2 linked regions of the Pelodiscus sinensis genome follow. The protein of the gene in region 1 interacts with the protein of each later gene in a biochemical or structural test. Links are inferred from orthologs where the notes say so. Each region holds a gene or a part of one and is shown in the gene's direction. Other genes may lie near its edges. The genes, in order: RASA1 and DOK1.

Region 1 (15,875 bases):
CTAGAGAACCATCGTAAGCCAAGCCGTCATAACTTGAACCCATATTTCCCATAGGCGCAATGTTATAAATGGTGGTTCTGTTCCTGGAAACCAATTTCATACCCTAAAAATAAAAAAATTACCTGTGGAAATGGAGGAAAACTAAATAGTTCAAATAATGTATAAAAATAACTAAAAAGTGAAGACCGATGTGGCAGAGATGCACACAGTTCAAGCAGCAGCTGCAGACTGGTGAGTCTGATTGACCTTGTGCATTTTCTGTTTTGGGATGATGCGTGGCGACTGCGTCATACAGCATCATAAATGCGAGCTGCAGATGTAAATTGGGAGGTTTAGGAGCTATCTTGCATGAAAAAATGGTTGTTATTGTGGGAGGTCGTAAATTGGGGATCGCCTGTAGTCACTAATGCATGGACGTCACAGCCCTGCAGTGGTTTGAAAATTCTCTTGCTATCCTTCTGGGTGTTCTGTGGGTCTGAGAGAAACTTGAGAGTGAACAATAACATTGGAAATGTAGGGGTGCTGCAGGCTCTGAGATAGGAAAGGAGTTTTGAGGCTGTTAAACAGAGGAGTAGAACTCCCTGTGACTGAATGGGAATGCTTACATTTAGGGATCCAAATATTAGGTAACATCTTAAGAAATAACATCTGAATCAAATACTGAGTTTTTCACCTCCCAGTGCTTTTCATATTATTATGAAATAATAAAAATCACAGTTTAGAAAGATCTACATGGGGAACAAAAATCTTACAATTAGCTCTTCAGTTTAACAGATAAAGGTATAACAAGACCAAATGGCTGGAAACAGAAACTGGAAAAATTCAGACCAGAAATAAGGTGCAAAATAGTAGTACTGAAAGTAATTAACTATTGGGAACCATTTCCCAAGACTTCTGATGGTGTCTACATCTCTGGTACTTTTAAATAAAGACTGAATATTTTTCTCAGACATACTTTAGTTCAAACAGGAATTCATTCAGGGAAGTTCTATGGCCTCTGTTATGTTGAAAATCAGATTAGATTATCATAATGTTCCTTTCTGGCTGTATAATCTATCAGAATAGTAACAATACTTAGCCACCTTTGATATTGCGTGATTTAAATAATCCTCCCAACAGCACTGTAAAATAGAAAGGTAATCTTATTCTTGTGTATAACTGTAGAAACTGAAATGGGTTAAGTGACTTACCCAAGGTCGTATCAGTCAGTGACAGAACCAGAATTAAAACTCATAGCATGTTCTACAGGGCATGCTATTACTCTTCTCTATTCTTCATATATCATCCCCAAATACTATATTATTACCGTATAAGAAGCCTATATAAACTACAGTCTCTGGAAATGTTGTCAGACTGGACAATTTAATTCAATGGAGTTCCCTAAAGACACTGAAATTTATCTGTGGATTTCATTCTACAAGACGTACCTTTAGACTGGAAACTCTGTGCAGTAGGGACACTATTTTCTTTCTGTCTGTAAAGAGCTTAACATACTATTGGTATTATATATACAATAATATAAAGCTGTTTCATTAATTTTGCATAATCACAATTTTGTTACCTGAAGTAGTAATTAAAAAGATTCATAATGGAGGCCAGTAATGGGAGCATTCATTACTTTGCTAAATATATTTTATATGGCAAATATAAAACATTCATCATGTTCAGTATGAAAATGTTTTGCTCTGCCCCAAAGATTGACCAAATACAACTAAAACATGTTGGAAATGAGTAGACATAGGTAAAACATATTGAAACTGGAATGATAGCAAATTTATACTTTATCTAATTTCTGCTGTGTTGTGAAATTACAGTATGACCAAGTTTAGAATACACTGAATGCACTAGACATTCCTGGACAAAAACGCCTATATATTTAGTCTACAGCATTTCCTCCTCCTCCCCCACACTGTTGAAAAATAATGCAAAAGCTACAAGAAACTGACCCCATAGCTGGTCTCACTCATCAATTAATCTAATGTTCATCATCCATGACAATACAAGGAGAGGGGGCTGAATAGTCCTAATATAATTTTGTCCAGATTATTAAGTAAAAAAGCATTTTTTTGTAAACATCAGGCTGGCAACAAGCACCACTTCTTTTTTGGTCCAGATATATTTAATATAGATGATTCCTGTCCTTGTCCCTGTGAAAATTTATGTAATGGAATCAAGATAAAAGTATAGGTTGAACCTCTCTAGTCCGGCATTCTCTGGTCTATAATTAGCTGCATATCTACTTAATATGGGTTTGGCCAAGTTTCCTGCAGTCCCATAAAGTTTGTTTACAGCCACCAGGCCTGGCTCTCCATGTTCTGTGCTGTTATTTAGCTCTAATTTACCCCTAACTATCTGCTAAAAGTCCAGTAAGCAGTGGAAGTGTTGGTAATGCTGCTAGACAATATTAAACAGCCAGGATTCAGCAAATCCTGTGGTTCAGCATCAGTGAGGTCCTGAGAGTACAGGACGAGAGGTTCAACCTGCAGTGGAAAATCCACCTGAAACAGCAGCACAGTGGTGCAAGCCAGCTTCAATCCCTGTTTTGTCAAAGGAGATGGAACAATTAGCACAACCTACCAAACATTTAGGTCTGGCCTGCTATAGGGATGCGAAGGACTAATCGACTATCAAATAAGCAAATGCTTATCAGATAGTCGACAGCATAGTTGACTAGTCGGTCCCTCCTCCCCCCATCTTGCTGCCTCTATCAGAAAGAGACAGCAAGGAGGGAAGAGAAAGGGGTACTTGAAAGTGGCAGCACCGCTTGAAGCCTGGGGCCAGACCCCAGGCTCTATGTGGCGCTGCCGCTTTGAAACACTGTGTGCAGCACGGGGCCAGCTGGGGTGTCCCCAGGCATCCAGTTTCTTGTGGCATTTCAAAGAGGCAGCACCATGTGGAGTCCCCAGCTGATCCCGGGCTCCATGAGGTGCCACTGCTTTGGAACACCGTGGGGAGCTCTATCGACTAATCGAACAGTCGATGCAAAATGCATCGAGTATTCGATTAGTCAATGAGTCGATATTTTACATCCTTAGCCTGGGAGAGGGCAGAATTGGCAGTCTCTGAGACGCATGTATTAACAAATCTCACAGACAGCATCTCATCTCTTGTGAAGCCCTGGTCAGAATACATAGCTGTCTTCCCCACACAAAACCCATGAAGGAGGGATGTAGCTGCTCTCTCCTCTGCTCAGTTGCCATTGCAGCTCCTGTACACCAGTATGTGCAACTCTGGCCTTATATAGTTCTACGGTATTAGAAATGGTTGTCTCAAAGAAGGGAATCCTGTATATATTTTTGTTGCATTAATGTGCTTATCTCTCCTACAAAGGCAACAACAAGGCATTAAAATAATTGTATTTGAAAATCTGTGAGGAAAAATAAACAGTAAACAGAAGTTCACACAGACAGTCAGCTGCAGGAGTATCTGGAATTACATGTTTAATAATGAATCATGTCTGGAAATCAGATGTGTAAAATATTGCCATCAAGGCTGCACTTTTTCAAATACAACAAACAGCAGCGTATAAATGTGCTATAATCCTTTTAACTAAGGACAAATTCTGTTTTCATTGATGCTGGTGCCAATCCAGAGTAACACCATTGATTTTAGTGGTAAAACTCAGAGCATACAGAAGGAAAGGTATGAAAATTCTAAAAAACTAGAAGTAGGAGTATGAACATATGTTTGTTTTGGTGGCCTCTGGAAAAATTAACTTACTACTTCTGAAAGTCTAGTAGCACCTTAAAGCTCACGATACCATCTCCATGTTTTTTTCAGTCTTTAAAGTGCTACTAGACTTTTTGTTGTTTTTAAGTTTTTTCCTGTTACAGACTCACTCAGCTACCCCTCTGAAATGTAATGCTTCTAGGGACGACAAAGCTTTGAAAACCTAAATATTTAAATGCCTTCTGAGAACATTTGAGATATACCAACATAAACAAGGGAGTGTACAAAGACATAACAGCCTAGAGAAAAAGTAGAAACAGAGAGACAAAAGTGCTAGTAGTTGTCAGCTATTTTAATTTTGCAAGTCAAAAGGTTATTTGCCTGGCATTGTTAAACACAAAGATCCTGTTCAACATATGTGCTTAACTGAGTGTAGATGACTAGTCTCATAGAAGTCAGTGAAACAACTAATAGCCATGTTGTTAAGAACAGGAATAAATGCTTGAGTCAAGATAATAATAATAATAATAGAAAAGGATATATTTTCATAAAGGTACATAGGAATAAATTATTACTAACAAGAAAAGGAGTTCATGCAACTCTAAAAACATTGCACTGTTTATGTCATAATAGCCAAACAAATATATTGTATCTGGGTTCTGTACATTATGTTTTACTGCTATTTCATCTGCATATCTTTATGCCATAAAAAAGATAGGTGAATTAGCAAGGGTAGATTTCTCAATGGAGCACATGCATGGACTGAGACGTTGATCGACCAATTCACATGGGCAATCTATGATGTTGCTGGTGAGTGATCAAGCCAATCCTCAATTAGCAAATACGATTACAGATGTCACATAAAAATCCACCATCTGAGGGCATTATACACTCTTTTTGGATCCTACACTTTTCTTGTAATGTCTGGATACATTGATTCTCGAAGTGTTTGAGACCCTGTACAATAGTTTGCTACCAGAACAATCTTCCTGAGCTATGATTTCTAGGTCATTGGGAGATATGCCACATGACTTCATGTTGGCCTTTATAATGCTTATATTGACCACCAATAGAGCACTTTCCGTGAACAAGCTGGCCGTAGAAGATTATTTTTGGTATGTATGTATCATCCATCCTCATAACCTCAGCAATGCAGCCCATGGCACCACACAGCTTAAGGACCTCTGTGTTAGGAATTTCGTCCCACCAATTCACATGGACAATCTTCCTGAAACTGCGCATAAGAAATTGATCAAGTTTCAAAATGTGATAGCTATGTATGATCTATGACTCTGAGCCATACATCAGGAAGTTCAGGACAACTGCCTGATAAACTGTTACCTTTGTATGAATTTTAACACCATGGCCATTCCATAATCAGTTGGTCAATCTTCTGAAGGCAGCGCTGGTTTTGGCTAGTTGAACAGATACATCAGCAGCAGCATTAATGCTGGAGAATGGTATGCTTCCAGGCTAACAAAACTTGTCAACAACCTAAGGACAGTATCAGCAGCAGTGATCGTAGGAGGGCTGGGCTCTTTCTGAAGAGACACTGAGACATAATCTCAATCTTTTGGAGTCTCACAGTGAGTCCAAAATGGTGAGCAGAAGTAACAAAAGGATCAAAATCTCCTGTGAGTTCTCCACTGGATGAGCCAACAATCCACAGTCATCAGAAAGAAGGTCACAGATAGTTGAATTGAACACTTTGGTATCTTTGGTGCCTGAAGTCTTTCAAAGCTGAACATGCTTCTGTCAGTTAGGAACTGCATAGGTATGCCCAACGTGCAATCCTTGAAAGCAACTAATAGCATAATCAAAAAGTAGATGCTGGGAAGGAGAGGAGCAAGGATGCTGGGAAGGAGAGGAGCTGGGAAGGAGAGGAGCAAGATCCTTGCTTTGTGCCATGTTATATTTCAAAAGGTGCTGATGTCTATCCATTATTAAGGATATGACCCAGCATAACATCATAAAAGGACCAAATTATACTGACAAATTTTTCAGGACAGCCAATTTGCCCAAGTACCTTTCAAAATCCATTTGTGTTGGCCATGTCAAACGCCTTGGTCAGGTAAATGAAAATCACTAAGAGATTATGATGTTGCTGTCTTCTTAGATCTGCTTGACTGTGAATATCATGTTGGCAGTGCCTTGACTGGCACAATATCCACACTGACTTTCAGGAATAATGCCATTTGTGAACACATGTAATGACAGATGGTTGTAGAGGATGCGGGCCAGGATCATAACATCTATAGACAGCAGTGAGATGCCCTGGAGGATATCACAGCAGGCACGGTCACCTTTTCTCTTGTATATTTGTACAATCAAGGCATCTTTGAAGTCCTGGGGGCCTTGCTCTTTCTGCCAAATAGTGATAAATAAATGGGTGAGATGGCATCAGCAGGCCTCTACCAGCTTTATAAATCTCTGATGGGAGCACATCACTGCCGGGTGCTTTTCCAGATTTCATCTGCTTGACAGCTTTCTGTACCTCATCAAGAGTTGGAGGTATAACCAGCTGTGAATCATTAGCTCACTGAGGAATCTTTTCAACCTCTGTGAACTGGCTGATACAAGATGTATTTTGCTTAAGGCTGTGACATCGATGTTATAATGTACAAGCTCTCTACCAATGATTGCTGTCCTGTGTTCATGGTGATCATCACTGTCAAGAAGTATGCATATATTCCATGAGGCAAAGTGTAGTGTCTGTTTAGTCATTGATTTTCTCCTGTGATTGCAAAATTGGATATCATTCGGTCCTGGCTAACCGACAGGAATCCACTGGAACAAGCTGTGGTTAGGAATTGTTTTCTCTCCCCCTCTTCTTTTGAAGAAAGCAGCTCTGTCCCTAAATAGGGTTGCTTTGTCACCTAGGCAGGGTATGGGAGCTGCTGCTGTTCCTTTTCAGCAGACAGATGATCATCACATCGAGGCCATCTATGTGCATGTTTGTGGCTAGATGGTTCCAGTTGTATCCTATACCTGCTTCCGCTATCACTTACCTACCGCTGGAGGGCTTTCAATAACAAGAGGTAAATCTTTAGCAGCAAGAGATATACTTTCACATATGGATAGGTTTACAAAACAAATTACATTTCATTAAAAAAAAAAGATCATTTCCAATGTTAAGTGAGGCTGGCTTGTGAGTTCGAACCTCACTCCCTCTTCTCATATTGGTGCACAACAAGCACTGCATTAGCTTAGGTATATGACTTTGGATCCCCATCCACCAAACCTATGTACACATATAGTAGGCAGAGGTGAAAGTAAGCAGATGTGCTCTAGTGCAGCGTGCCAGTAAGAAAGTGTTGAGCGGAGGGTTGGGCCTTAATCCTTTTCTCCCCTCCCCCCCACACCCAAAGTTGAAGCTGGCAGCAGGGACCCTGGGGCTAGAAGCCAGAAGAGCCCCCAGGAGGGGGACAGCAGAGATCAGAGAGCTGCTTGGCAGCAGGGCCGGTGGCTAGAGTGCCCCTAGTGAGAGGGGTGCAGGGCCAGCGGCCTGGAAATCCCCTGGTGAGGGTGACAGGACCAGTGGTAGGGGGAGACACACCAAGTGGCCTGGACTCCAGGTGCTGGGCCAGGATCCCAGGGGAGCTTCAGCACTCTACTCAGCCTTATCTCCTTCCGATGCCCAACACTGCTCCAATTTGGCTGGGAACAGGAGCAGCATAGTGCACAGTCACCAGTGGGGACTGCCTCATCACTGAGCCTACACACACACACATCCCAGCCCCTGCACCGAACCTCCCTCCCTGCCAGCTTTCTGCCCTGATTTCTGCACTTCCATTCCCTAATCTTGTGCCCTGAGCCCCTCATTCACCCCAACTATGACTCCTGCACCTCCCACATGTCAACCCTCTGACCTGAGCCTCCTGCACTCCATCCCACACTTACATTTCCTACAGGTGGTGTGGTACCACCACCATCCCCTGTCCTGAGCTCAGGCCCCCAAGGGGAAGGATTGTAATATGACACTATGATAAGTTACTATAGAGAACTTTCTGGGTGTCTGGCTGGTGAGTCTTGCCCACATGCTCAGGGTTTAGCTGATCGCCATATTTGGGGTCGGGAAGGAATTTTCCTCCAGGGTAGATTGGCAGAGACCCTGGAGGTTTTTCGCCTTCCTCTGTAGCATGGGGCACAGATCACAGCTGGAGGATTCTCTGCATATTGGGGCCTTCAAAGTATTTGAAGGCTTCAATATTTGAGACATAGGTGAGAGGATTATTCTAAGAGGGGTGGGTGAGATTCTGTGGCCTGCACTGTGCAGGGGGTCAGACTAGATTATCATAATGGTCCCTTCTGACCTTAAAGTCTATAAGCCATATGAGTCAGTATCTGTAAGAAATGTAAGTTATTTTCTCTGGATAATAGGTTCTGCATCACCAAGCCAGGTCACTTGTAAGTACTTCTGGTAAGTACTGAGTGTGGGTCAGAGGCACAAGTGTGGACATAACAGCATAGAAATGGAAAGTGCAGTGCTCCTCCCCTGCTTTAAAAGCATTAGAAAAAAAGATTCCTGATTCCTATCAGGTTCAGTTAAATTTAACCCACAAACTCAGAATACCATCAAAACAAGACAAGTGTGTTGATTCTACTAGTTCACAAATAAAATAGATCAAACAACACAATCTAACAAAATCTGTACCCCACGTCCTAGAACAAAAAAAGCAGTACAAAAAAACCTCTCCCTGGATTTCAGGATTTGGGCTACATCTGTTTATGGTTTGAATGCCCCCAGTTTTGCTTGATGCATCTGCAGCTTTTCTTAGTTCAAGAGACTAATCGGGATCGCAGGGTATGCTAGTGCAAAGGCGCTGCAAAAACATACATCTGGCAAGTGAATCCAACAGGACCCCAGCCAGTTGTTCTGAAGTGCTATGGCGAGGGGGTTGGGGGGAAAGATCGCAGTACCGGTGTGAGATGCAATCGGCCTGGCGCCAAACGTTCTTTATTTAGGCACTGTAAATTGGTGGGTTGGGAACAGTCAGGGTGTGGGCGGTGCGCTGGGCTTGCTCTCTTCTTTGACACTGCAACCCGCCCCTGTGCTCATATTCTTGGTAGCTTCAGCTCTTCCTTTCCCACCCACGCGCGGCCCTTGCAAAGCTCCAGGTGAACCCAGCTCTGAGCCCGGCCGCTCCCTGAGTCAGAGCCGGCGGCAGGAACCGCGGGAGCGCGCGCGGGCTCAGCCAACCCCCTCCTCGCGGCGGGCGGTCCCCGGGCGCATGCGCACTGTGGCGGGAGCCGCTCGCCAGTTCCCCTGCCTCCCCCAGCCCAGCCTGGCCCCTGCCCGTGCCGAAGCTGCGCTCGCTGCGGGCGGGCGGGGTGAGTCTCCGCGGGAGCCGCTCCCCTCCCGGCCGCAGGGCGATGAGGCAGCCGCTCCGGGGCCCTGCCGCGCTGCCCTGAATCCAGCCCCCGCCCAGCCGGGTATTGTTCGCGGCCGCCGCCGGGGAAGTTCGCTCGTCCCGGTCCCGGCTCCGCTCCCCGCTGGGGCGGGGCGGGGGGTCTCGGCCCCTCGGTCGCCTCCTCCCCGGCGTGCGGAGGGGGCGAGGCTCACCATGATGGCGGCCGAGGCCGGAGGCGAGGAGGGCGGCTCGGCGAGCGCCGCCGGGGAGCCGGGGCACTGCCCTGCCCTGTGCCGGGGCAAGGGGCCGCAGGGCTCCGGCGGGGGCAGCCCGGGCGGCAGCGGCCCCCCTTTGTGCCCGGCGCTGGGACTCCTGGTCCTGGGGCCTGCCCCTCCGGCGGGCGGAGGCGCCGCAGTGGCCGCCGGGCAGGGGCAGGAGATGCCTCGGGGGGCGCTTGCCCCGCAGGAACCCGGCTCAACAGGCGGGCCGCCCGCTGGGGGCTTCCCGCCGCTGCCGCCCCCGCCGCTGCCGCTGGTCGGGGGGCTGGGCACCGTGGATGAAGGCGACTCGCTGGACGGGCCGGAGTACGAAGAGGAGGAGGTGGCCATCCCGCTCAACGCGCCCCCGACTAACCAGTGAGTAGCAGCCCCCTCTGCTCCCGGCCGCCCTGCTTTGCTGCCCCTCCGTGGGGGGCGGCAGCCGGCTCGGTGGCGACTCTAGCTCCCGTCCCTCCCCTTTGCCCGGTGGAAAGTGTGTGTCAAACTCCGGCCAGGCCCTGAAAGGTTTGCCCCCGCCCCCGAGATCCCATTTAAATAGACTCAGTTGCTTGCATGGAAAGTGCTGAAGTATTGGCACTGAGGGCTCCTTGGTCTGTGTTTCCGTCTGGGGTGGATCCTCAGACTGGACAGCAGAGCCACCAATTGCAACAGCGTGCGCTTGACTTGCATGGACTAACGCACATAAGAATGGCCATATCGGGTCCAGTGTCAGATGCTTCAAGAGGGAATGAAGAGAATAGGACAGTTGTAGCAATCCATCCCCTCTGTCCAGTCCCAGTATTTGACAATCCGAGGCTTAGAGACAACCAGGGCACTGGAAAATTTGAAACGCTACTGGGCTCCAAGCAGCATTAAATGCCTGCAGTATTCCCTCTAATGTGTTCCATCTGTGTGCAGAATAAACTTTATGTGCAGTTGTGCATCACCAGTAGAAAAACATGCTGCCAGCTGTGAGTACTCTGCTAATCAGTTGGGTGGCACATGAATCTTTCCTGTGTTGCCCCCCAAGAGCTCGGTTTACAGGGAATACTGGATGCTAGTGTGTGTCTTGTCTGTCACCTACTGCTGAGTCATATATTACTGATCGGTGTATGTATGTGTACTCTTCGAGGGTCCCTTGTGTGCCTTGCAGTTTCCATTTCCTCCAAGTACCACAGAACCATAAAAACATAAAATCTTTTATTTTTATAGTCCCATGTTTAAAATGAACAAAGAAATCCTTCAGGGATTTAGAGAAAACAGTCAGACTTAAACACTACCTATCTAATTTAGTTTTTTGGGTTTTCAGTACTTACTACTGTGGATTTTCACATGGTAAATAGTGTCACAAAAGGAGTGGAAAGCTCAGATTATTAAATTTTCCCTTTGGAAACTTTATCAATTTTTGACATCGTTATCCATTTTCATACTCTTCCAAAACATAATAGTAAGTAGCTATTGTCAAATATAGATATGATTTTTATGATTCTTGGTAGGAAAATTAAGCCGTCTTTAGACTTTCTGAAACTTAAAGCTTTCATATGCGTACTGCGTGGAATAACATTTTATAGATTGTACTTTAAAAAAATTGATAAAATGTCTTACCCAATAATTTTAATGCTATTTAATTTCCATAAACAATGAATTTAATAGCATGGTGTACAGCTGATTTTAAAGGTGTTTGTGTTCAGTTGGATTGTGTGAAAATTAATGGGAATTGAGTCAAAGCATTGGTAGGTGTTTTACAGTAAGGTTTCTTTATGATTGTCTTTCCATTAACTTAATAAGCATTCCCTTGTTGATAGTATTACAGGAAAACTTAAAGCTGTTATGCAGGACAATTGTTGTATTTTATATATATTATAGAGCTGATGCTGTGCAGCATTTGTGTGTACAATTACTGATAAATATAGATACGAGAAGTTGAGATGCACTAATAACACTAGTAAGGTGTGTAAGGGTTTACATAATACAGTTTCAAGGTTTATGGTAGGAAAGAAAATTGCACTCAAGTGTGTCTGATTATTGTCCCAGAAACAAAATTGTGTTTTAAGTTGGTATTTAGAAATCAAGCATTAACTAAGTTAAAATGAAGTTTTATATTTCAGATAAATTAGGGCTATAAGGCGTAAAAATAGCTATGAATTTACATTACAGATTGTTGCTAGTAATGTTTATCCAAGAATGTTCTAATGTTGTCTTGACAGTTTTTTTTTTGACATCTTTTAATATCTGAGCTATTACTAGTTAAACCTCATGAGTTCTAGTGTCTTTCTTTTTCCAGGATTCAGGATGATTTTTGCATAAGTACACAGGCATAACTATTATATAAGAAGGAGGGTGTAGAGTTTAATATAAACCATATTTTTCACACAATTTAATTTTATCAGTCTTTTCAGTGATGGATGGATGTAAATATGTATGTATCTATTTAATGACTTTATTGTAACAGTTCCTAAACATCAGGATCTCATTGTTCTAGGAACTGTAAAAGCACATAGTGAGACAGTCCTGGTCACAAAACGATTTAAAAAAAAACTAAATTGAGCAGACAAAGGGTGAGATGGTAAATAGAGGCACAGAAAGATGAGTGAATTATCGAAGGTCACACAGTAAATCACTGGTAGGGAATCTAGATTTCTGACATCCCGTTTGGTGTCCTGTCTGCTAGACAAAATTGCCTTTTTTACTGTAAAAACATACTGTTTTTGGAATGGTTGTGTTAGGGGTTTGAATTAGGGCTGTGATAGTTTAAGCACTTAAATGGTTAACCAATGAGCCTGGGTGATTACACGCAAACCTTCACCATTACATTCAAGCCTCCCCTTCCCAGGGGGGAGGGGAAGGAAGGTGAGAGGCAGGTGCTTATGGAGAGCTGGCTTAAAAGCTGGCTCCCTGCAAGCACCAGCTCCTACTTACATCTTCATCACAAGTGTGATAGTGGCACAGTGGAATTGGCGCTGCTGTAAATGGTGTCGATGTAGCATGAGTTAAATCCCAAGAATTTGGTCAATTTCATGGTATGATAAACTCTCAGAAAGCAAGTGTGAGTGTTGTTTTTCACCGTTTTGCTGCAGAACTGGCTACTTCCCTGGTGCTGCTGCCACCACCTCCTCCTGGCGTCCTTCTCCAACATGTAAAGAAGCTTTCTGTAGCAGTACAATTGAGTTTACAAATATTTGGTCAGTTTTGTACTGGTATAGCAGTTATTAAGCTGACAAAATTCTTCTAAGTTTAATACTGTTTTAAAGGTGGTAGTGGCAGCAGCAGAAGTTCCAGTATTTGCCAAAGATATTTTTACTTTCTATGAATGATGATTTTCATAAGATGCTTGTGTTGAATTTGAACAGAGCGCCAGAAGCTTTATAAAGTAAAATTGCTTGTTGTACTGTAATGTGTTCAAAACATATCCCAAATTGATAAAGCTTTGCTACCATTTTTGTTACCTGTTGAGACAGAATATTAAATGACGAAAGACAGTGAAGAAAATAGCTAAAGCCAGAGACTGTAGTAGGTGGGGGAATATTAAACAAAAATGTAAGTGGAAGTGAAACATTATTATATCTGATTTTAGTGTGAAGTATAAGTTTCTTCAAATAAGTGTAATGATAAGTAACATCTACCAACACTTATGTCTGTCTCAGCAACAAGGGTTAGAAAGGAGAGAGAGAGAAAGCTAGTGAGCACACACCTGCAGTTCTACAGGAGAAGAATGACTGGTGTCCATACATCTAAAAAAATTAGGGCATAAAATCACCTTTTTGGTAATTATATTTATGTATGCAGGAGTATTCAATGCAAGTTCCAGGAAATAGTCTTAATGGCATATATGGGGTTTTTTTTCTGCATAGCAATAGAAATAGATAGAATAAATGCAATTTATCTCTTTTTAGTGTGTAAAGTTTATCTTCCTTCTCTTTAGCAAAATGATGTGGTAAACAGATAAATGATTGTTCTTTAACCAAAAACCTGCAAATTTATTTAACAGCAGAAGAATGCAATTATTGATCTAAAAATAAATAGATAATTAGATTATATGTTCTGTATTTTTTAAATGTTATTTTTGAAGATTATCCCTATATAATGCATAAGCAAGAGCTGAATACAATTGCTGGAGAATGAATTCCGTTAGCCATGTAGATGAGAAGCCCAGCGTATCATGCATTTTCTCTTTTTCTCACCCGCTCCCAGGCTCTTGGGGAGAAAAGGACTCTGTTTTTCACCAGGTATTCTTTCTTAGGCCTGTTAATTAATACATCGATTTATGCTCCAAAGCATGAGCACTTGTCTCGATTTTTATATTATCTTGTATTTTCTATATAAATTGTAATCTCTTCCATTGTATTTAGTATGTATTTTAGACAACTAACTCTACACCAGTGATAAGCAATCTAGACCAGCAAGTGGGCTTTCACCTCGGTGGGCCACAAGATTGTTGTAATGAAGATGGATTCCCTGGATAGGGTAGTTTTGCTAACTGTACTTGAGAACCTAGGATTTGCAGAGTGTGCTGATAGAACTGTGACAGCACTTCTCTCTCTCTGCATCCAAACAAGTAGCTCTCTGTCAATGTTGCGTGCAATCAGCACACTTCATGTGCACTTTCTTTACGTGTGTGCCACTTTAGTAATAGCAGTAGGGGGAAAAACTACGCAGACGGAAACCAGCAGAGGCTGGCAACTCTGCTTGTGAGCAATGGTAAGCAAAATGTCTCGCAGGCCATATAATCCCAGTGGGCCACAGGTTGCACATCACTTGTCTACACAAAGAATAATTTAAATTGTTGCTTCCAATTTAGGACGTTTCTTAAACTTTTGTAGTGTAGTTTCCTCCCTAGAATATGGTTACACTGTAGAAGGCTGTTGCTAGAGAGTTCTGGATGTATCCAGCCACAAGTCCATCAATGGCTAAGAAGTCAGATTGCTTTAATCAGTTTCCAAAGAGGGCTTAGAGTTGTTTCTCTTATCTTACTTTTGGCAGCTTGTTAGTTTCAGCAGCTTTTGAGGCCTGGTGTACATACAGTAGGGGCCAGGAATCTTTTTTCTATCAGAGACAATTGACCCATAAAAAAAAAATAAAGCATAGGCCCTACAAGGGGTTGCAAAAGCTTGGGGCTTTCCCCCACAGTGGGGTGAGCTGGCAATCACAGACTCTGGGGTGAGACTGGGAAGGAGGGGTTTGGGTGTAGGAGGGAGCTCCAGGTAGGAGCCAAAGGGTTTGGGGTGCAGGAGCAGGCCCAGGGCTGGGTGAGGGAGGTGTGGGCTGTGGAAAGGAGGTGGGGTGGGAGAGGAATTTCCAACCTGGTGCAGCGGGCTCTGGGTCCAATTGGCAGCACAGCCACAGAAAGTTCCCTCCCTGCCTTGGCTCTGCATGGATCCTGGAAGCAGAGGGCAAATCTGGCCCCTAGGCAAAGGCACGACCATGTGGCTCTGTGCGATGCACTTTGCTCACCCCACAGGTACCACCTGGGCAGCTCCCATTGGCTGTGGTTCCCAGCCAATGAGTGCTTCAGAAACAGCACACACATAGTTTCCCTGATTGCCTCTGCATGTAGGGGCTGTAGGAATATGCCAGCCACTTCTGGTAAGAGGGCTGAGCTGTCTGGGTTGTTACCTGCTTGGCAATCCTAGCTTCCCCATGCACCAGTGTGAGCTGAGGCTTTTGGCTCTGTTCCCCCCCAGGGCATATCACCAAGGCTCAGGGTTTCCAGCCTACAGCATGGATACTTGCCATGGACTGGATGAAAGATGAGGCCTGTGGGCCGTTGATTCCTTAACTCAACATGCAGTCTGGGGTACTTTTGTAAACTACAGTAGAACTTCAGAGTTATAAATACCAGAGTTAGGAACTGACTGGTCAGTCACACACCTCATTTGGAACCAGAAATATGCGGTCAGCCAGCAGCAGACAGCTCCCCCAAAAAATGCACTGCAGCTCTGTTAAATGTTTAAAAAACAAAAGGGAAAAGTCGAGGAATCTGTTTCTCTGCATGTTTTGTTTTTAAATTAAGGTGGTCAAAGCATCATTTTTCTTCTGCATAGTAAAGTTTCAAACCTGTATTAAGTCAGTGTTTGATTGTAAGCTTTTGAAAGAACAACTGTAGTGTTTTGCTCAGAGTTAAGAATGTTTGAGTTATGAATAACTTCCAATCCTGATATGTTTTTAACTCTGAAGTTCTACTGTATCTCCTTTTAAATTGAAAAAGTTATATTCGTTCACTCCCCTGGTGTGGGTGCAGTTTTATATATAAAGGTGACTCGTCTGCACTACAGTTATGTTGCTCAGGAGAGTTAATAGATTTTCGCACTTGGTTTAGAGTGGCTATATTAGAGATGTAGCTGTGATGTTGTAAACTCTTTAGTTTAGCTATGCTTATAGGAAGAGGAATAACCTATTATGTATGGGATAGCAATATTGGTACAAAGCACCATTACAGCTGTATAACTGCATCCAAACTGGGACAGATTGTGCAACTTTAACTATATAGTTAAAGTAATACAACTTCTTTGTGTGATCATGCCTTGAGAGCATCCTAAAAGCTTCAGCTTGGTATTTTTTTAGAATAAGGAATTGTGCAGTTAGATAATCTGGCTAGAAA
Region 2 (16,477 bases), on another chromosome or scaffold:
GGTTTTAAATGTGAAAATGAAAGCCATCCAGGGTGTTTCCAACACCTCAGCGACAACGTAACGACCTGAGAATGTCCTTCTTTGGCCTTTAAGTCTAAGTTGGGGTGGGCAATAATTTTTGATGGGGGGGGCACTTCACAAATTTTTGAAGTGGCCCCAGGCTGCCATGGAGGGGTGGGGCTTTGGACAGAAGAGGCGGAGCCAGGACACTTTCTTGCTCCCCTACCCACAGACCCTGAGTGGCTCAGGGTGGGGGAGCATGTGAAGTCTTTGCTCCCCCCCCCACCGAAGAGAATTGCCAGCTGTTCTGGTGGTCCTGATTGGCCTCGGGGCGGGGGAGTGGCAGGGTGCCTGTGGGCCAGATCAATCCGCTTGGCAGGCTGGATCTCGCCCATGGAAACTCTCTTACCCACCCCTAGTCTAAGCAGTGGTTGGTCGCAGGAAGACAGGGTCTGACCAGGTCATTTTCTATGGAAGGGGGAGCAAGGATAGCAGGTTCCCACCCAAAGTGTAACCTACAAGACAAAGGGAAGCTATCTGTCCCTGTGTCTTTGGCTGGCACGACACATCCAAACGGAGCCAGAGACCCCATGGAGAAAAATCTTCCCTGGCTTGGAGGCTTGCCCGAAATAGGAAGTTTTAGAGTTAGTTTGTACTTTGCTGTAAGAGCTACAGATGTGCCAATGGAGTGGAGTGGAGACCTGCTCCGAGGTCATTGATTTTAGTCTTTCCCTAGTTTCGCCCCAGCCCCATTTACTCTGATGCTCACTGTGTGAATTGTCTGATCCCTGCTAGCCTGCGGAGTGAAAATGGAAGCCAACAAAGGAATTTAACTGGCTGCACTTTCTGCTATGGCCCTAGGCTTTCCTTGGTCTTCCTCACAGAGCCGCTGGCCGGCCGGGGCCAACAGAGTCAGCTAGGTTAGCTCTGGCCACGCTGCAGGGTTTGCTGTCTGACCCATCCAGGACAGATAGCTCCTGCCTCCTCGAGCACAGCCTCCCACGGAACCGCTCCACTCTCCCGCCGTTCTCACTGGCGAACCTCGGCCTCTTATCCAGTCCTGTGCGCAGTCCTCCGCCAGGTCCCCTCATCTCCTCCCTTCCAAATTAAACCCACTCGGAGCCTCCAGGCTTTGCTCATATGGCTGCGCTCTGTCTCTGATCACAGCGCGTGTGTGTGCAGGGCACTACCGGCGCTGTGCGCGTGTGTGAGCGCACGGCGGGCGCCGTGCCCCCGTACGGCGCTAGGGGGCGCTGTGCTGCACAGAGCAGGGCTGGCCCAGTGCCCCCGTGCGGCGCTAGGGGGCGCTGTGCTGCACACAGCAGGGCTGGCCCAGTGCCCCCGTGCGGCGCTAGGGGGCGCTGTGCTGCACACAGCAGGGCTGGCCCAATGGCCCCGTGCGGTGCTAGGGGGCGCTGTGCTGCACACAGCAGGGCTGGCCCAGTGCCCCCGTGCGGCGCTAGGGGGCGCTGTGCTGCACAGAGCAGGGCTGGCCCAATGGCCCCGTGCGGCGCTAGGGGGCGCTGTGCTGCACACAGCAGGGCTGGCCCAGTGCCCCCGTGCGGCGCTAGGGGGCGCTGTGCTGCACACAGCAGGGCTGGCCCAGTGCCCCCGTGCGGCGCTAGGGGGCGCTGTGCTGCACACAGCAGGGCGGGCGCCGTGCCCCCGTGCGGTGCTAGGGGGCGTTGTGCTGCACACAGCAGGGCTGGCCCAGTGCCCCCGTGCGGCGCTAGGGGGCGCTGTGCTGCACACAGCAGGGCTTGCCCAGTGCTCCCGTGCGGCGCTAGGGGGCACTGTGCTGCACACAGCAGGGCGGGCGCCGTGCCCCCGTGCGGTGCTAGGGGGCGCTGTGCTGCACACAGCAGGGCTGGCCCAGTGCCCCCGTGCGGCGCTAGGGGGCGCTGTGCTGCACACAGCAGGGCTGGCCCAGTGCCCCCGTGCGGCGCTAGGGGGCGCTGTGCTGCACACAGCAGGGCTGGCCCAGTGCCCCCGTGCGGCGCTAGGGGGCGCTGTGCTGCACACAGCAGGGCTGGCCCAGTGCTCCCATACGGCGCTAGGGGGCGCTGTGCTGCACACAGCAGGGCGGGCGCCGTGCCCCCGTGCGGCGCTAGGGGGCGCTGTGCTGCACACAGCAGGGCTGGCCCAGTGCCCCCGTGCGGCGCTAGGGGGCGCTGTGCTGCACACAGCAGGGCGGGCGCCGTGCTCCCATACGGCGCTAGGGGGCGCTGTGCTGCACACAGCAGGGCGGGCACCGCCCCTACAGCCAGGGCTGACCCCGTGCCCCACAATGGGTGGGTGTCTGGCACTTTGGCTGCTACCTGGGGCTCTGGGGGGGTGGGAAGGAGGCTCAGGGCTGGGTCTGCAGCTACAAGAGCAGCCCACAGACACCCAGGCAGGAACCACTTGTCTGCCACGCTGCACAACCTGGGTGCTGCACTTCGTGCCTGAGGGCTCGCAGCTGCTCGACAGTCTCCGTCCCCTGGGTGCTGCACTAGCACCCGCCTCCCGGCTGCAAGAGGGAGGGAGCAAGGAGACGCTGCCTTAGCATGAGAGAGCCCAAGCATCCGTCCTGACAGTCCAGGCCATGTTCCTGCAGCAGCCAGGGGCTGGTCCCGGCGATGCTGCATCCTCGGTGGGTCCATCCTGGGACCCTGCATCCCCTGCCAGGTGGGCGGGGGAGGAGAGGGGAGGGGAGGGGCGCGCTGATAAACTCCGACATGCAGCGCCACCTCGTGGCTGCACAGCATATTGCAGTTCAGCACTCCCTGGGGACTGGGCTGATTGCTACTGGGCTACATGGGACCCGCTAGACCTCAGGAGGCCAGGCCTCCATTGAGGGGAGCTGGGGGGGAGGGGTATCTCTGCTTGGCCTGAGGGCACCATCAGAGAGCCCTGGTGTGGGGAGCGAGCTGACAAGGGGTACAAGGAGTAGCCCAGCCTGCCCCTAGGGAGGGCTGCTATTGGCTTGCACAAGGCTTTTGTGAGTTACTGAGGCAGGGCCCTGCAGAGCGACCACTGGCCGAGGGGGAGTGACAGGAGACAGGGCTGGGGGCGGGAGTGGGGGTGTGCCTCCCCCAGTGCTACCTTCACTGACGGCCCATGCCTGGCCATGCCCCCCACTCCTGGTCTGTGCTCATCAGGGCCATCCCTACAGGGGTGCAGTGCAGTGCCGGGACAACCCCCCTTCCCATTCCTGCTTTGCCCCATTCCACTCCCTGCCCCAGGGCCCTTCCCTGGGCAATGCAGCCTGGGGGACTAGCTGGGGTCAGGCCAGCCCCCATACTCAGCAGCCGGTGGCAGCCTGGCCCTACAGCAAGTGTTCTGGGGGGTGGGGCTATATCTGGCGGCGATGCCCATGGCTCCCTAACTAGGGGGTGGGAGATGGCGCACACATTCCAATTTTAGCACCAGGCCGCCTTGCCACAGGCAGCATCTGCAGGAAGGGAGGTTTCTCCATGGTGCAGGCAGTGCTTGTGGATCGCCCTGGGGTTTCACAGGCATCAGTGCATGGCACCCGCATCTCCAGGAGCACCAGAAAGCTGCCAGCAGGGACTTTCTTTCCAGAGCACGGGATTACAAGGGGGCTGTGGAAATGCCTCGGGAATCATGGGTGGCCCAGCTTCTCCCTTACCAGGCAGCTGGGTAGCGGTGAGCAGCACTGGAGCAACAAGCCGAGCAGGGGCTGGTGGGGGTGGAATGAGGCAGGCTAGACCTTGCTGAGGGTAATGCCCCCGGGATCTAGCCTCGTGCTGTGCATTGCACACTGCCTGGGAGTCCCTAAGGGTGAGATGGCTGCAGTATTTGAGCAGCCAGATGCAGGGAGAGGGTTGCTATTAACAGCAGGAGGCTTTGAGGAAGCACTTGGCCATTAAGGTGCACTAACGTATTTCTTGGGAAGTTGCTTCCTTGATGCATCCCATGTAACAGGGGCAATGGGGGCAGGGGCAGGTGGGGCATGAGATGGAGGCAGGCAGAGCGTGGGATGGGGCGATGGGAGCAGGGGCAGGAAGGGAATGGGATGGAGGCAGGGGCAGGCGGGGAGCAGAATGAAGGCGATGGGGGCAGGACCAGGTGGGGCACGGGATGGGGGCAGTGGTAGGCAGAGCATGGAATGGGGGCGATGGGTGCAGGGGCAGGATGGGCACGGGATGGGGCGATGGGGGCAGGAGCAGGCGGGGCGCGGGATGGGGCAGTGGTAGGCAGAGCATGGGATGGGGATGATGGGGGCAGGAGCAGGCGGGGCGTGGGATGGGGGCAGGAGCAGGCGGGGCGCGGAATGGAGGCGATGGGGCCAGGAGCAGGTGGGGCGCGGGATGGGGGCAGTGGTAGGCAGAGCATGGTATGGGGGTGATGGGGGCAGGGGCAGGAGGGGCACGGGATGGGGGCAGTGGTAGGCAGAGCGTGGGATGAGGGTGATGGGGGCAGGGGTAGGTGGGGCGCGAAATGGAGGCTATGGGGGCAGGGGCAGGAGGGGCGCGGGATGGGGGCGATGGGGACAGGGGCAGGAGGGGCGCGGGATAGGGGCGATGGGGGCAGGGGCAGGAGGGGCGCGGGATAGGGGCGATGGGGACAGGGGCAGGAGGGGCGCGGGATGGGGGCGATGGGGGCAGGGGCAGGAGGGGCGCGGGATGGGGGCGATGGGGTCAGGGGCAGGAGGGGCGCGGGATGGGGGCGATGGGGACAGGGGCAGGAGGGGCGCGGGATGGGGGTGATGGGGACAGGGGCAGGAGGGGCGCGGGATGGGGGCGATGGGGTCGGGGCAGGAGGGGCGCGGGATGGGGGCGATGGGGTCAGGGGCAGGAGGGGCGCGGGATGGGGGCGATGGGGTCAGGGGCAGGAGGGGCGCGGGATGGGGGTGATGGGGACAGGGGCAGGAGGGGCGCGGGATGGGGGCGATGGGGTCAGGGGCAGGAGGGGCGCGGGATGGGGGCGATGGGGGCAGGGGCAGGAGGGGCGCGGGATGGGGGCGATGGGGGCAGGGGCAGGAGGGGCGCGGGATGGGGGTGATGGGGACAGGGGCAGGAGGGGCGCGGGATGGCGGCGATTTGGACAGGGGCAGGAGGGGCGCGGGATGGGGGCGATGGGGACAGGGGCAGGAGGGGCGCGGGATGGGGGTGATGGGGACAGGGGCAGGAGGGGCGCGGGATGGCGGCGATGGGGGCAGGGGCAGGAGGGGCGCGGGATGGGGGTGATGGGGACAGGGGCAGGAGGGGCGCGGGATGGGGGTGATGGGGACAGGGGCAGGAGGGGCGCGGGATGGGGGCGATGGGGACAGGGGCAGGAGGGGCGCGGGATGGGGGCGATGGGGGCAGGGGCAGGAGGGGCGCAGGATAGGGGCGATGGGGGCAGGGGCAGGAGGGGCGCGGGATAGGGGCGATGGGGGCAGGGGCAGGGGCAGGAGGGGCGCGGGATGGGGGCAGGGGCAGGGGCAGGGGCAGGGGCAGGAGGGGCGCGGGATGGCGGCGATGGGGACACGGGCAGGCGGGGCAAGAAAACGCTTCCACAGCCTGTGCCTGGGACCGAAATGAAAGCTGTGTGAACGTGGGACGCCAATGGAAACTCGTTACCGTTTTTCAATCTTGCCTCATTGATCAAGCCCCGGACAGTGACGCGCTCCCAAGCCCACAGCTGCTGGCAAGGGAGGCCTGGGAAGGGTGAAACCTCACAACTGTGTGTAGATGGAAGCGTCATGGTCAGAGTTCTGGGAGGGGTGAAGTGAAGGGAGGCTGAGGGCCCCAGAGGGTGAACAGGAAGGTGTTGGTCTGCAGTGGGGCTGGCTGGATGACGAATTGTACATGTGTTGCCGTGGTCAGCCCCAGATCTGCTCAGGCTGCAGCTCGATTAAAGACTTGAGCATCTTTGCCTGCTCTGCCCCGACTTGTCTGGTCTGTGGTGTCCCGAGCAAATGCTGAGAGAGTCACCTGACGTGAATCGCTCAGAACTGGGGCTACTCAGAGCCCAAGATTGGGGGTCGTCCGTTATAAGGCCCCCCACCCATCACACCGAGCACTTCTGTCTGCCACCCTGGCCAGCAAGAAGTCACACAAGTGTCTCAGGCAGGCGTCTCAGTAGTGACAGATGGCAGAACAAGGAGCAATGGTCTCAAGTTGTGGTGGGAGAGGTCCAGATTGGATATTAGGAAAACCTATTTCACTAGGAGGGTAGTGAAGCACTGGAATGGGTTCCCTAGGGAAGTAGTGGAGTCTCCATCCCTAGAGGTGTTTAAGTCTCGACTTGACAAAGCCCTGGCCGGGTTGATTTAGTTGGGATTGGTCCTGCCTAGAGCGGAGGGCTGGACTTGACGACCTTCTGAGGTCTCTTCCAGTTCTATGATTCTATGATAAGGGGATGGTTGGATGAAATAACATGATCTTGGTAACTAATTGACCATTCATTATAGGGAACTTTCTGGGTGTCTGGCTGGTGAGTCTTGCCCACATGCTCAGGGTTTAGCTGATCGCCATATTTGGGGTCGGGAAGGAATTTTCCTCCAGGGTAGATTGGCAGAGGCCCTGGAGGTTTTTCGCCTTCCTCTGTAGCATTGGGCACAGATCACAGCTGAAGGACTCTCTGCATGTTGGGGCCTTCAAAGTATTTGAAGGCTTCAATATCTGAGACATAGGTGAGAGGATTATTCTAAGAGGGGTGGGCGAGATTCTGTGGCCTGCACTGTGCAGGGGGTCAGACTAGATGATCGTAATGGTCCCTTCTGACCTTAAAGTCTATGAGTCTATGAGTCTATGAGTGAGGCGGTCACCTTGGCCAGCGCATTCAGGGCCCCGCGCTGCCCAGCTCCCAGCACACAGCTGGCTGGGAGCCCTGTGGCTCAGCGTGCTGCCTTGGGCCCCGCACACTCTTTGTCCCGGCCTGCGCGCTGGTCTGTAACTGACAAAACTTAAAACACCACTGGTACTGGAGAGCCTTCGGCTATGTCTGCACTACCGAGTTCCTGCCCCAAAACGGCCAGTCCCAGGCCAATTTCTACCTTGGCCCGTACCCAAAGAGCCCGCTGGGCCTGCCTTCTACAATTTAAAGGGTCATTAATAAAAGGAAAGGCTCAGAGTCGAGATTGTTAAAGCAGGGGTGGTTCCCAGCCTCTCTGATGCCGGCTCCAGCCAACCCATTCATAAACTCTTGGGGAGAGAGGTGAGCTTTGGAGCCACTGCCCTGCAGCCCGCGCTGTGTAGCTTGAACACTTGTCTCTCCTTGGGCCAATAAAACAGACTGGCCTGAGCACTGGTCTCTTCTACAGAACTAGCCCATCTAAGCAGGTAGGTTCCTCAGCAAGGGAGATCAGACCCCCACCTCACTGAGACAGAGGCCAGACTTCAGCACAGTGGAAACTCGGCAGCTCCCTGCCCTAACTGGTGTGAGCATGGCTCCCAAAGGGAAAACAGGACACCATGGTGGCCTGATCCTCCCAACCCCATCCCAGGCTGGGGTCGCTGGGACTCTGCCTGCCCCCCCCCCCACGAGGCTGGGGTCGCTGGGACCCTGCCTGCCCCCCCCCACGAGGCTGGGGTCGCTGGGACCCTGCCTGCCCCCCCCCCACGAGGCTGGGGTCGCTGGGACCCTGCCTGCCCCCCCCCACGAGGCTGGGGTCGCTGGGACCCTGCCTGCCCCCCCCCCCACGAGGCTGGGGTCGCTGGGACCCTGCCTGCCCCCCCACACGAGGCTGGGGTCGCTGGGACCCTGCCTGCCCCCCCACACGGGGACCCCAGGTCCTAAGACCCTGCCTGCCCCCCCCACGAGGCTGGGGTCGCTGGGACCCTGCCTGCCCCCCCCCACGAGGCTGGGGTCGCTGGGACCCTGCTTGCCCCCCCCCCACGAGGCTGGGGTCGCTGGGACCCTGCCTGCCCCCCCCACGAGGCTGGGGTCGCTGGGACCCTGCCTGCCCCCCCCCCCCCCACGAGGCTGGGGTCGCTGGGACCCTGCCTGCCCCCCCACACGAGGCTGGGGTCGCTGGGACCCTGCCTGCCCCCCCACACGGGGACCCCAGGTCCTAAGACCCTGCCTGCCCCCCACACGAGGCTGGGGTCGCTGGGACCCTGCCTGCCCCCCACATGGGGACCCCAGGTCCTAAGACCCTGCCTGAGCCTTGTGTCTTTGCCCCCCAGAGACGGCCATGGCCCTGCCCCCCACGGCGCCGCGCTGGTGCCCTGTTTTCTCTCGCCAGCTGATCACCTGGCCGAGCAAATGGGACAAACGCCCCGTCGTGAGAAAACCAGCCCGTAGCGCCAGGCTGAGCAGGGCCCGCCCCGGGCACAGCGGCCTTTCTGCGGGCGAGCAAAGCGGGCGGGGGTCGGAAGGACGCTCCCGCCCCCCGGGAGCGCAACTTAAGCCCCTGCTGAGCCCGGAGCGGGGCGGGGCCTGCAGGCGCTTGGGCTTGGCTGCGGGCTCGCAGCGCTCCGATGCCAGGGTGATGGGCCGCCCCGCCGGCAGCCCGGGACAGCGAGCAGCCCCCGCCCCGCCCCCCCCATCCCGGCCCCGCCCCCTTCCGTTCGCCCCGCCCCGCCCCGCCGTCACACCCCGGCCCGTGGGCTGCCCCGCCCCAGGCCAGGCAGCGCAGCAGGAAGCGGCGGCCGGAGGGTGCCGGGCCGGGCCGCCCGATGGACCCCGCGGCCAAGGAGGGGCGGCTCTACGTGCAGCAGGGCCACAAGTTCGGGGCCAAGGTCGGCGGGCGCGGGGGCCGGGATCGGGGCCGGGGCGGGTCCGACCCTCCGCCCCCGGGCGCCCCCTTTGCAGCTGGCTCCGGAGCCCGCGTCTTTGGGGTCCGCCCCCCTCCCTGGGATCAGGAGCCCGGCTCTCACCCCTAGGCTGCCCCCCCCCCGCAGCTGGCACAACCCCCCCCTCCGGGAACAGGACCCAGGAGTCCGGCTCTCACCCCTAGGCTGCCCCCCCCCCCCGCAGCTGGCACAACCCCCCCCTCCGGGAACAGGACCCAGGAGTCCGGCTCTAACCCCTAGGCTGCCCCACCCCGCAGCTGGCATAACCCCCCCGCCCCCCCGGGAACAGGACCCAGGAGTCCGGCTCTAACCCCTAGGCTGCCCCACCCCGCAGCTGGCACAACCCCCCGCCCTCCCGGGAACAGGACCCAGGAGTCCGGCTCTAACCCCTAGGCTGCCCCACCCCGCAGCTGGCACAACCCCCCCCCCCCCCCCGGGAACAGGACCCAGGAGTCCGGCTCTAACCCCTAGGCTGCCCCACCCCGCAGCTGGCACAACCCCCCGCCCTCCCAGGAACAGGACCCAGGAGTCCGGCTCTAACCCCTAGGCTGCCCCACCCCGCAGCTGGCACAACCCCCCGCCCTCCCGGGAACAGGACCCAGGAGTCCGGCTCTAACCCCTAGGCTGCCCCCCCCCCCCCCGCAGCTGGCACAACCCCCCGCCCCTCCGGGAACAGGACCCAGGAGTCCGGCTCTAACCCCTAGGCTGCCCCCCCCTGCAGCTGGCACAACCCCCCGGGAACAGGACCCAGGAGTCCGGCTCTAACCCCTAGGCTGCCCCCCCCTGCAGCTGGCACAACCCCCCGGGAACAGGACCCAGGAGTCCGGCTCTAACCCCTAGGCTGCCCCCCCCCCCCCGCAGCTGGCACAACCCCCCCCCCCGGGAACAGGACCCAGGAGTCCGGCTCTAATCCCTAGGCTGCCCCCCCCCCCCCCCCGCAGCTGGCACAACCCCCCCTGAGAACAGGACCCAGGAGTCCGGCTCTATCCCCTAGGCTGCCCCCCCCCCCCCCCGCAGCTGGCACAACCCCCCGGGAACAGGACCCAGGAGTCCGGCTCTAACCCCTAGGCTGCCCCACCCGCAGCTGGCACAACCCCCCGCCCCCCCGGGAACAGGACCCAGGAGTCCGGCTCTAACCCCTAGGCTGCCCCCCCCCCGCAGCTGGCACAACCCCCCCGCCCCGCCCGGAACATGACCCAGGAGTCCGGCTCTAACCCCTAGGCTGCCCCCCCCCCCCGCAGCTGGCACAACCCCCCCGCCCCGCCCGGAACAGGACCCAGGAGTCCGGCTCTAACCCCTAGGCTGCCCCCCCCCCCCCCCCGCAGCTGGCACAACCCCCCCGCCCCGCCCGGAACAGGACCCAGGAGTCCGGCTCTAACCCCTAGGCTGCCCCCCCCCCCCCCCCGCAGCTGGCACAACCCCCCCGCCCCGCCCGGAACGGGGCCCCGGAGTCCAGCTCTAACCCCCCTAGTTTACCCCCCGGCTGCTGGCACAATGTCCTCCATTATGGCTGCTGGTTCCCCCCCAGCCCTGGACCAGCCTTCCCATCCAGCGGGAGCATGGGGTGGGTCTCTGGGCAGTATATTGCCTGCTGCCCATGTGCTCCCTGCTCTCCTTCTTGGCAGCTGCTGCCCTTCCCAGTGGGGAGCGGAGGCCTCCTGAGGTCCATGCCACGCCCTACAGGAGCAGCTTCTGGGGGGTCCGGCTTCTTTGTGGGGCTGAGCTGTGCTGGGATCTGCTGGCGGGGACCTGGCACTGCCCTGCCCTAGCCAGGCCCTTGGGGAGGGCAGGGCCTGCTGGTGTTGGGGATGGATATTGAGGGCTGCCCCAGAGAGGAGAGAGGCTTTTGCTCCCTCTTCTCAGGGTCACTGGGGGAGCTGTGGCTCTGGTAATGCCTTGGCCCATGGCAGCATGTGGCCCCAGACACCTGCCTCTGTGCCCCCTGCGAGTCCAGCCCTGGGGCTGCTGCCCTGCCTGCCCCCAGGAGAGAGCGGGGAAAGTGCCCATCAGCCAGCGGCAGGGCCCAGCACAGGGCAGGGTCTGGGCTACCTGGCGAGTACATGTCCCTGGCCCATCCCTCACTGGGCAGCGCTGCTCCCCTGCTGGCTTAGCCAAGAGCCCGTGACCCCTGGAGCTGAGTCTGCTTGGGGGATGGTCCCCCTGGGTGTCCCCATGGCTCTGGTGCAGCGGGAGGACTGCCCACCCTGGTAGTGGTGCCAGGCTGAGCCCGTGTGAGACGCCCCGGCACTGAGCTGGGCTCGCGGAGCTGCAGAGGCCACACCAGGGGCAGGAGGAAATCGCCTCCTGGCCTGGATGGCAGGGGGCAGCCGCGGTTGGACCTGGCAGCTCCTCCTCTCTGCTGTTTCCTGTAACCCTGTTGGCGCGGCTGCCAGCCCGAGGGGAGGCTGCTTGTCTGCTGTGCGGGGGCTCTGGGGCGCGCGTTGGATGAGCTGAGCCGCCAGGCAGGGGGTACCTGCCTGCAGCCGCGGGGCTGAGTGTTCTGTGTGACTGCACCATGGCACTGGGGAGGCTGTCACAGGGAATCCCCCAGGCGGAGTGGAGGGGCAGGGGAGAACAGCCTGACCCCAAACGGCCAGCAACTGCGTGGGCTCTGGCCCCCCTGGAAGCACGAAGGGAACCAAAGCAGGTAACTCAGATTGGGCCAGTTCTCAGACGGGCTGGGGTAGCTCTGTCCCGACACGTGGCCAGTTATGCCAGCTCAGGCCTTGTCTCTGCCCCCGCGCTCTGGGTCGCGTAGCCCCGGGCAGGGCTGCCCGTGCTGGCCAAGGGGCGCTGGGGCTGGTGAATGGGCAGTGCGCTTGAGGAGCACTCAAGGGAGGAGCTGGAGATCCTCCAACTGGAGCCACTCTCGTTTGGGGACAAGTCTGAGGAGCTGTCCCAGCGTGAGGTTTGGGAGCAGCTCAGTACATTAAACAGGAACCAGTTGCCTGCACCTGAAGCTACACGCCCGACAGTGCTGGAGGGCCCAGGTGTGAAAGGGCAGGACTAAAGCTGCGCTTTGTAGCCCCCTTTGAATGGGCGACGTCCGTTTTCGAGGGCTCCAGGGACGCTCTGGGCAGTTGCAGAAAAACACAAGTGGTCTGGTGGCGCTTTAGAGACTCACAAAACATCGCTGGGATCATGAGCTTTCGTGGGCGCCGCCCACGCCCTCAGATGCCGAGTTCTGAGTCAGCCAGCGCCAGCGCGAGGCGTGGAGCTGCGGTTAAGCAGGGAATTAGGACGCAGGTAGCGTGCAGAGCCAGCCTGGCTACTGCACGGCAAGGTGGGTCTCACCAGCCCACCGGGATTCTCTGAGGGAGTCAGCGAGCGTGAGCCAGGGCAGCCCCCCCCCCCCCCGGCTCTTTAAGGAACGTGGAGGGCCCTGGGGAGGGGGAAGGCCTCTCGCAACCAGGGACTGGTGGGAACAAAAGTGCCGTGGGTGGGTGTCCCCCTGCCAGGAGCGGGCACTGACCGGAACTGGGTCACTCCACCGTTGCCTGTTCGCTCCTGAAGCATCCGGCCATGGTCAGAGGCAAGAGGGTGGGGGGCCCACTGCTCTGATCCAGCACTGCATAGTCGTGTCGCGATCCATGTCTGCTAACCCAGAGCTCTCCCCTTTTGCCCTGGGCCGCAGGGAGCAAGGGTCAGGAGGCCCTGCTGGTTTGTGCCCTATAAGCGCAGGCCCCCTGGGAGCAAAGGGGGCAGGTTGGAGCAATGGGGAATCCCCATAGCAGGTTCTGCCTGTGATACCCCTGCCTGTTGCAGGGGCCACTGTAGGGACTGTTGGCTCAAGTACCCCAATTCCTGGGGCAGGGCCTGTCTGAGGCAGCAGGAACAGGCGCATGAGCCCCAGAGCCTGTGGGGTGGCCAGACACAGCAGCCTGGGGTGCAACTGGCTCCCCATCGCCATGCCCGGACTGTGCAGGACCTGCCCAGCACCCGAGCCGCTTCTCCCTCCCCAGGCTGGGCAGCTGCAGCTGTGACCAGCTGCATGGTGCGGGTGGGGGCTCTGGCTTGCCTGGGTTTAATCTCCCCTGCCCCTCCCCCAGCCCTCTAGCTTGGTGCCTGGTGATTTGGGGAAGTTTGGTATTAATACAGGAAGCAAGTGAGGACACAGACACTTCCTCTTCCTGTCCTGAGAGTCAGCAGCAGGGATCGCTGAGGAAGCAGGGGAGGGGGCAGGAGGAAGGGCACATGTGGGGCATAGTGAGCTGCACATACCCGGAGACCCTGCCCGCATGGGAGGGGGAAAGGGAGCTTCTGAGCAGCCAGAGTTGTGGGGCACAGGCTGCTGGGCACGTATCCCTCCTTGCCCCAGGGCGGGGTTGGCTTCTCTGAGGTCACTTAGATCAGGGTGGCCCCTCGGCTCTGCCATCAACAAGGACAAATGCAGAGTCCTGCACTTGGGACGGAAGAATCCCAAGCATTGGTACAGGCTGGGGGCCAACCAGTTAAGTGGTAGTTCTGTAGAAAAGGGCCTGGGGGTTACAGTGGATGAGAAGCTAGATATGAGTCAACAGTGTGTCCTTGTAGCCAAGAAGGCTAATGGCATATTAGGGTCCATTAGGAGGAGCATTGCCAGCAGATCTAGAGAAGTGATTATTCCCCTTTATTCAGCTTTGGTGAGGCCACATCTGGAGTATTGTGTCCAGTTCTGCGCCCCCACTACAAAAAGGATGTGGGCGCAATGGAGAGGGTCCAGCGGAGGACAACCAAAATGATGAGGGGGCTGGAGCATATGACCTATGAGGAGAGGCTGAGAGAGTTGGGTCTGTTTAGTCTGCAGAAGCGAAGAGTGAGGGGGGATTTGAGAGCAGCCTTCAACTTCCTGAAGGGAGGTTCCAAAGAGGATGGAGAGAGGCTGTTCTCAGTGGTGACAGATGGCAGAACAAGGAGCAATGGGCTCAAGTTGTGGTGGGAGAGGTTCAGGTTGGATATTAGGAAAAACTCTTTCCCTAGGAGGGTGGTGAAGCACTGGAATGGGTTCCCTAGGGAAGCAGTGGAGTCTCCATCCCTAGAGGTGTTTAAGTCTCGGCTTGACAAAGCCCTGGCTGGGTTGATTTAGTTGGGATTGGTCCTGCCTAGCGCAGGGGGCTGGACTTGATGACTCCTGAGGTCTCTTCCAGCTCTATGGTTCTAGGATTCTATGATCCTCCTGGAGCCTGCTGGGCTAGGCAAGGAGCGAGTCCAAGGAGCCAGGGTGTGTGGCATCCTGGGGGGAGATCTGTGGGCTGATGACTTGCATGGCCCTCGCCTCTGAGCAGGCTGGGCACATGGGGGTGGGCAGAGCTGCAAAGGGCGAGCTGGATCCTGCAGGCCCAGCCCCAGCTGAGCCTCCCCAGACTGCGCTCCAGTTCATGCTGCACCAGCTGGCTTGGACCTCACTGACCATGGGCAGGCAGTGCAGGCCTGGGCCCCAGTGTCACTGCCTGCCCCTGCCCCCCTCCCATGCCCCGCCAGCCCCCATCTGCCCCTCCCCCCATTGCCCGTGCCCCACCTGCCCCTGTCAGCCCAGTCTGACTCTTGTGCTTTTGCTTGGTCTGTCTCTGAAAAAGCCTCCCCAGAGCTGAGGCCTCTGGCTCCTGCTCGGCTGGTCCGTGGCTGGCTGGGGACCGGCTGGTGGGGCCAAGGAAACGCTGCTGCCCGTGGGCCTACAGCTCCTGGCAGCCGGGCCGAGCGAGTCTGAGCACTCGGCTCTGTCTCTGGCGGAGCAGAGACTGAACCCTGCCGGGCTCCACAGGGGCTGCTTGTGCGGGGCCCTCCCCGTGGCCCGAGTGCCGGAAGGGAAGGGGGGCGCTACCCGGGCAGGGGCTCACAGACCCTTGGGGCTGGCCGGGAGTGGAGGCCGCTGTGCTGACCCTGCGGGGCTCTCCCCGTGGCCCGAGTGCCGGAAGGGAAGGGGGGCGCTACCCGGGCAGGGGCTCACAGACCCTTGGGGCTGGCCGGGAGTGGAGGCCGCTGTGCTGACCCTGCGGGGCTCTCCCCGTGGCCCGAGTGCCGGAAGGGAAGGGGGGCGCTACCTGGGCAGGGGCTCACAGACCCTTGGGGCTGGCCGGGAGTGGAGGCCGCTGTGCTGACCCTGCGGGGCTCTCCCCGTGGCCCGAGTGCCGGAAGGGAAGGGGGGCGCTACCCGGGCAGGGGCTCACAGACCCTTGGGGCTGGCCGGGAGTGGAGGCCGCTGTGCTGACCCTGCGGGGCTCTCCCCGTGGCCCGAGTGCCGGAAGGGAAGGGGGGCGCTACCCGGGCAGGGGCTCACAGACCCTTGGGGCTGGCCGGGAGTGAAGGCCGCTGTGCTGACCCTGCCGGGCTGCCCTTGCAGAGATGGAAGAAGAACTGGTTTGTGCTGTACCCGGCCAGCCAGCATGGGGTCGCCCGCCTGGAGTTCTATGACTGCAAGGACCCCGGCGCCCCGGCCGAGAAGCTCAGCACCCGGCGGCTGGACAAGAAGATCATCCGGCTGGCGGACTGCGTCAGCGTGGCGCCCGTGCCAGAGGCCGGCCCCAAGGACAGCACGGCCGTCTTCCGCCTGGAGACCAGCGACCGCAGCTTCCTGTTTGCCGCCGAGAGGGAGCAGAGCGCCGAGTGGGTGGACAAGTTGTGTGAAATCGCCTTTTCGGTGAGTGCCACGGGCGAGGGGCTGGGCCTTCCCCCCCGCCTCCCGTCCGCACAGCCAGGCTGGCGAGGGCTCACGGCCCCAGTGACCCCTGCTGGGACAGCCCTGTGTGCGAGGGCTCTGCCCCTCCAATCCGCCTTGCTCACCCCTCAGGACTGTAGGCCATGCCGGGGACGCCACAGCTCCCCCCAGGACTGTGCTGCTGCTGGCCAGCGTGGCACCAGGGCTGTTGTGGGTGGGGCTACAGGAGACCTAGTGCCTCGGGGTGGGGCTGGTCCCCTCGCCCCCCGCTCTCCTGGTGGGGAGGGAGCCTGCAGCCCTCTGGAGTGCGGGTCCCTGGGGAGCCCCACGTGCCAGGCAGCATGATGCTTCCTCTCTGCATGGCAGGGCAGTGCCAGCCAGACGCCTGTTGCATGGAGGTTTGGGCCCAGCTGCCCATCTGGATGCCCCCTCCGTACCCTCTGCCAGGTGGCCCCCAGGGCCTGGAGCTGCCCCAGGCCCCAGCTGCTTCCCCTCCAGCCAGAAATCTTCACCGGAGCTGAGCCAAGGCTGCGGCCTGCCGCTCATCCAGCCTTCCCACGGCACCTGCCCCAGGCTGAAGTGACTCCCACAGCCCTGAGTCCTCCCTGTGGGCTGGCAAAAGAACACCCCCCCGCCCCCTCAGGCAGCCTGGACCGCGGCCCGGGCATTGGCGGCTGCTGCTGTGCTCCCAGGCTGGTCTTTCAGGGCGCCTCTCAGGCCCCAGGCCTTGCGCTGTCACGCAGCAGGTGTCCTGCTCTGCTGCGGCTGCTCAGCCCAAGACCTGTCTACTTACTGAGCAGGTCTGGCTGGGCGCAGCGCTCGCAGCTCTCCCCTCGGGGGTCATGGAGACCAGCCAGCATAGGAACCGGGCATTAGAGAAAACAGCCTTTTCAAAGCCGTCTGTGACTCTGTCTTCCCTAAACTCTGGTCGCCTTGCACTGGTGACCCAGACAGGCCCAGGGTCTCCAGCGAGAGCACGGGGTCCCTGTCTGTGTCTCGTCCCCCACCCATGTCCCTTTAAACCCTGCTGCAGCCCTTCTGGGTTCGTCTGGGTTCCCAGCTGTGCCAGTGGGGCAGGGCGGAGATAAAACCTTGAAAGCTAAGGGGTGGGGTATTG

The links.
Region 2: the proteins of RASA1 (region 1) and DOK1 form a complex in vitro, tested with the Homo sapiens proteins (2 studies listed by BioGRID, with this or other methods). The link is inferred for Pelodiscus sinensis from reciprocal best matches to the Homo sapiens genes RASA1 and DOK1.

Annotation. Positions count from the first base shown.
Region 1 is NC_134716.1:76,464,477-76,480,351, reverse strand, and holds the start of RASA1 (ras GTPase-activating protein 1), read left to right. Parts: upstream 1-8,799; 5' UTR 8,800-8,900; coding exon 8,901-9,655; intron 9,656-15,875. UniProt on the Homo sapiens protein: Inhibitory regulator of the Ras-cyclic AMP pathway. Stimulates the GTPase of normal but not oncogenic Ras p21; this stimulation may be further increased in the presence of NCK1.
Region 2 is NW_027465889.1:329,719-346,195, reverse strand, and holds the start of DOK1 (docking protein 1), read left to right. Parts: upstream 1-8,514; 5' UTR 8,515-8,609; coding exon 8,610-8,672; intron 8,673-15,045; coding exon 15,046-15,342; intron 15,343-16,477. UniProt on the Homo sapiens protein: DOK proteins are enzymatically inert adaptor or scaffolding proteins. They provide a docking platform for the assembly of multimolecular signaling complexes. DOK1 appears to be a negative regulator of the insulin signaling pathway.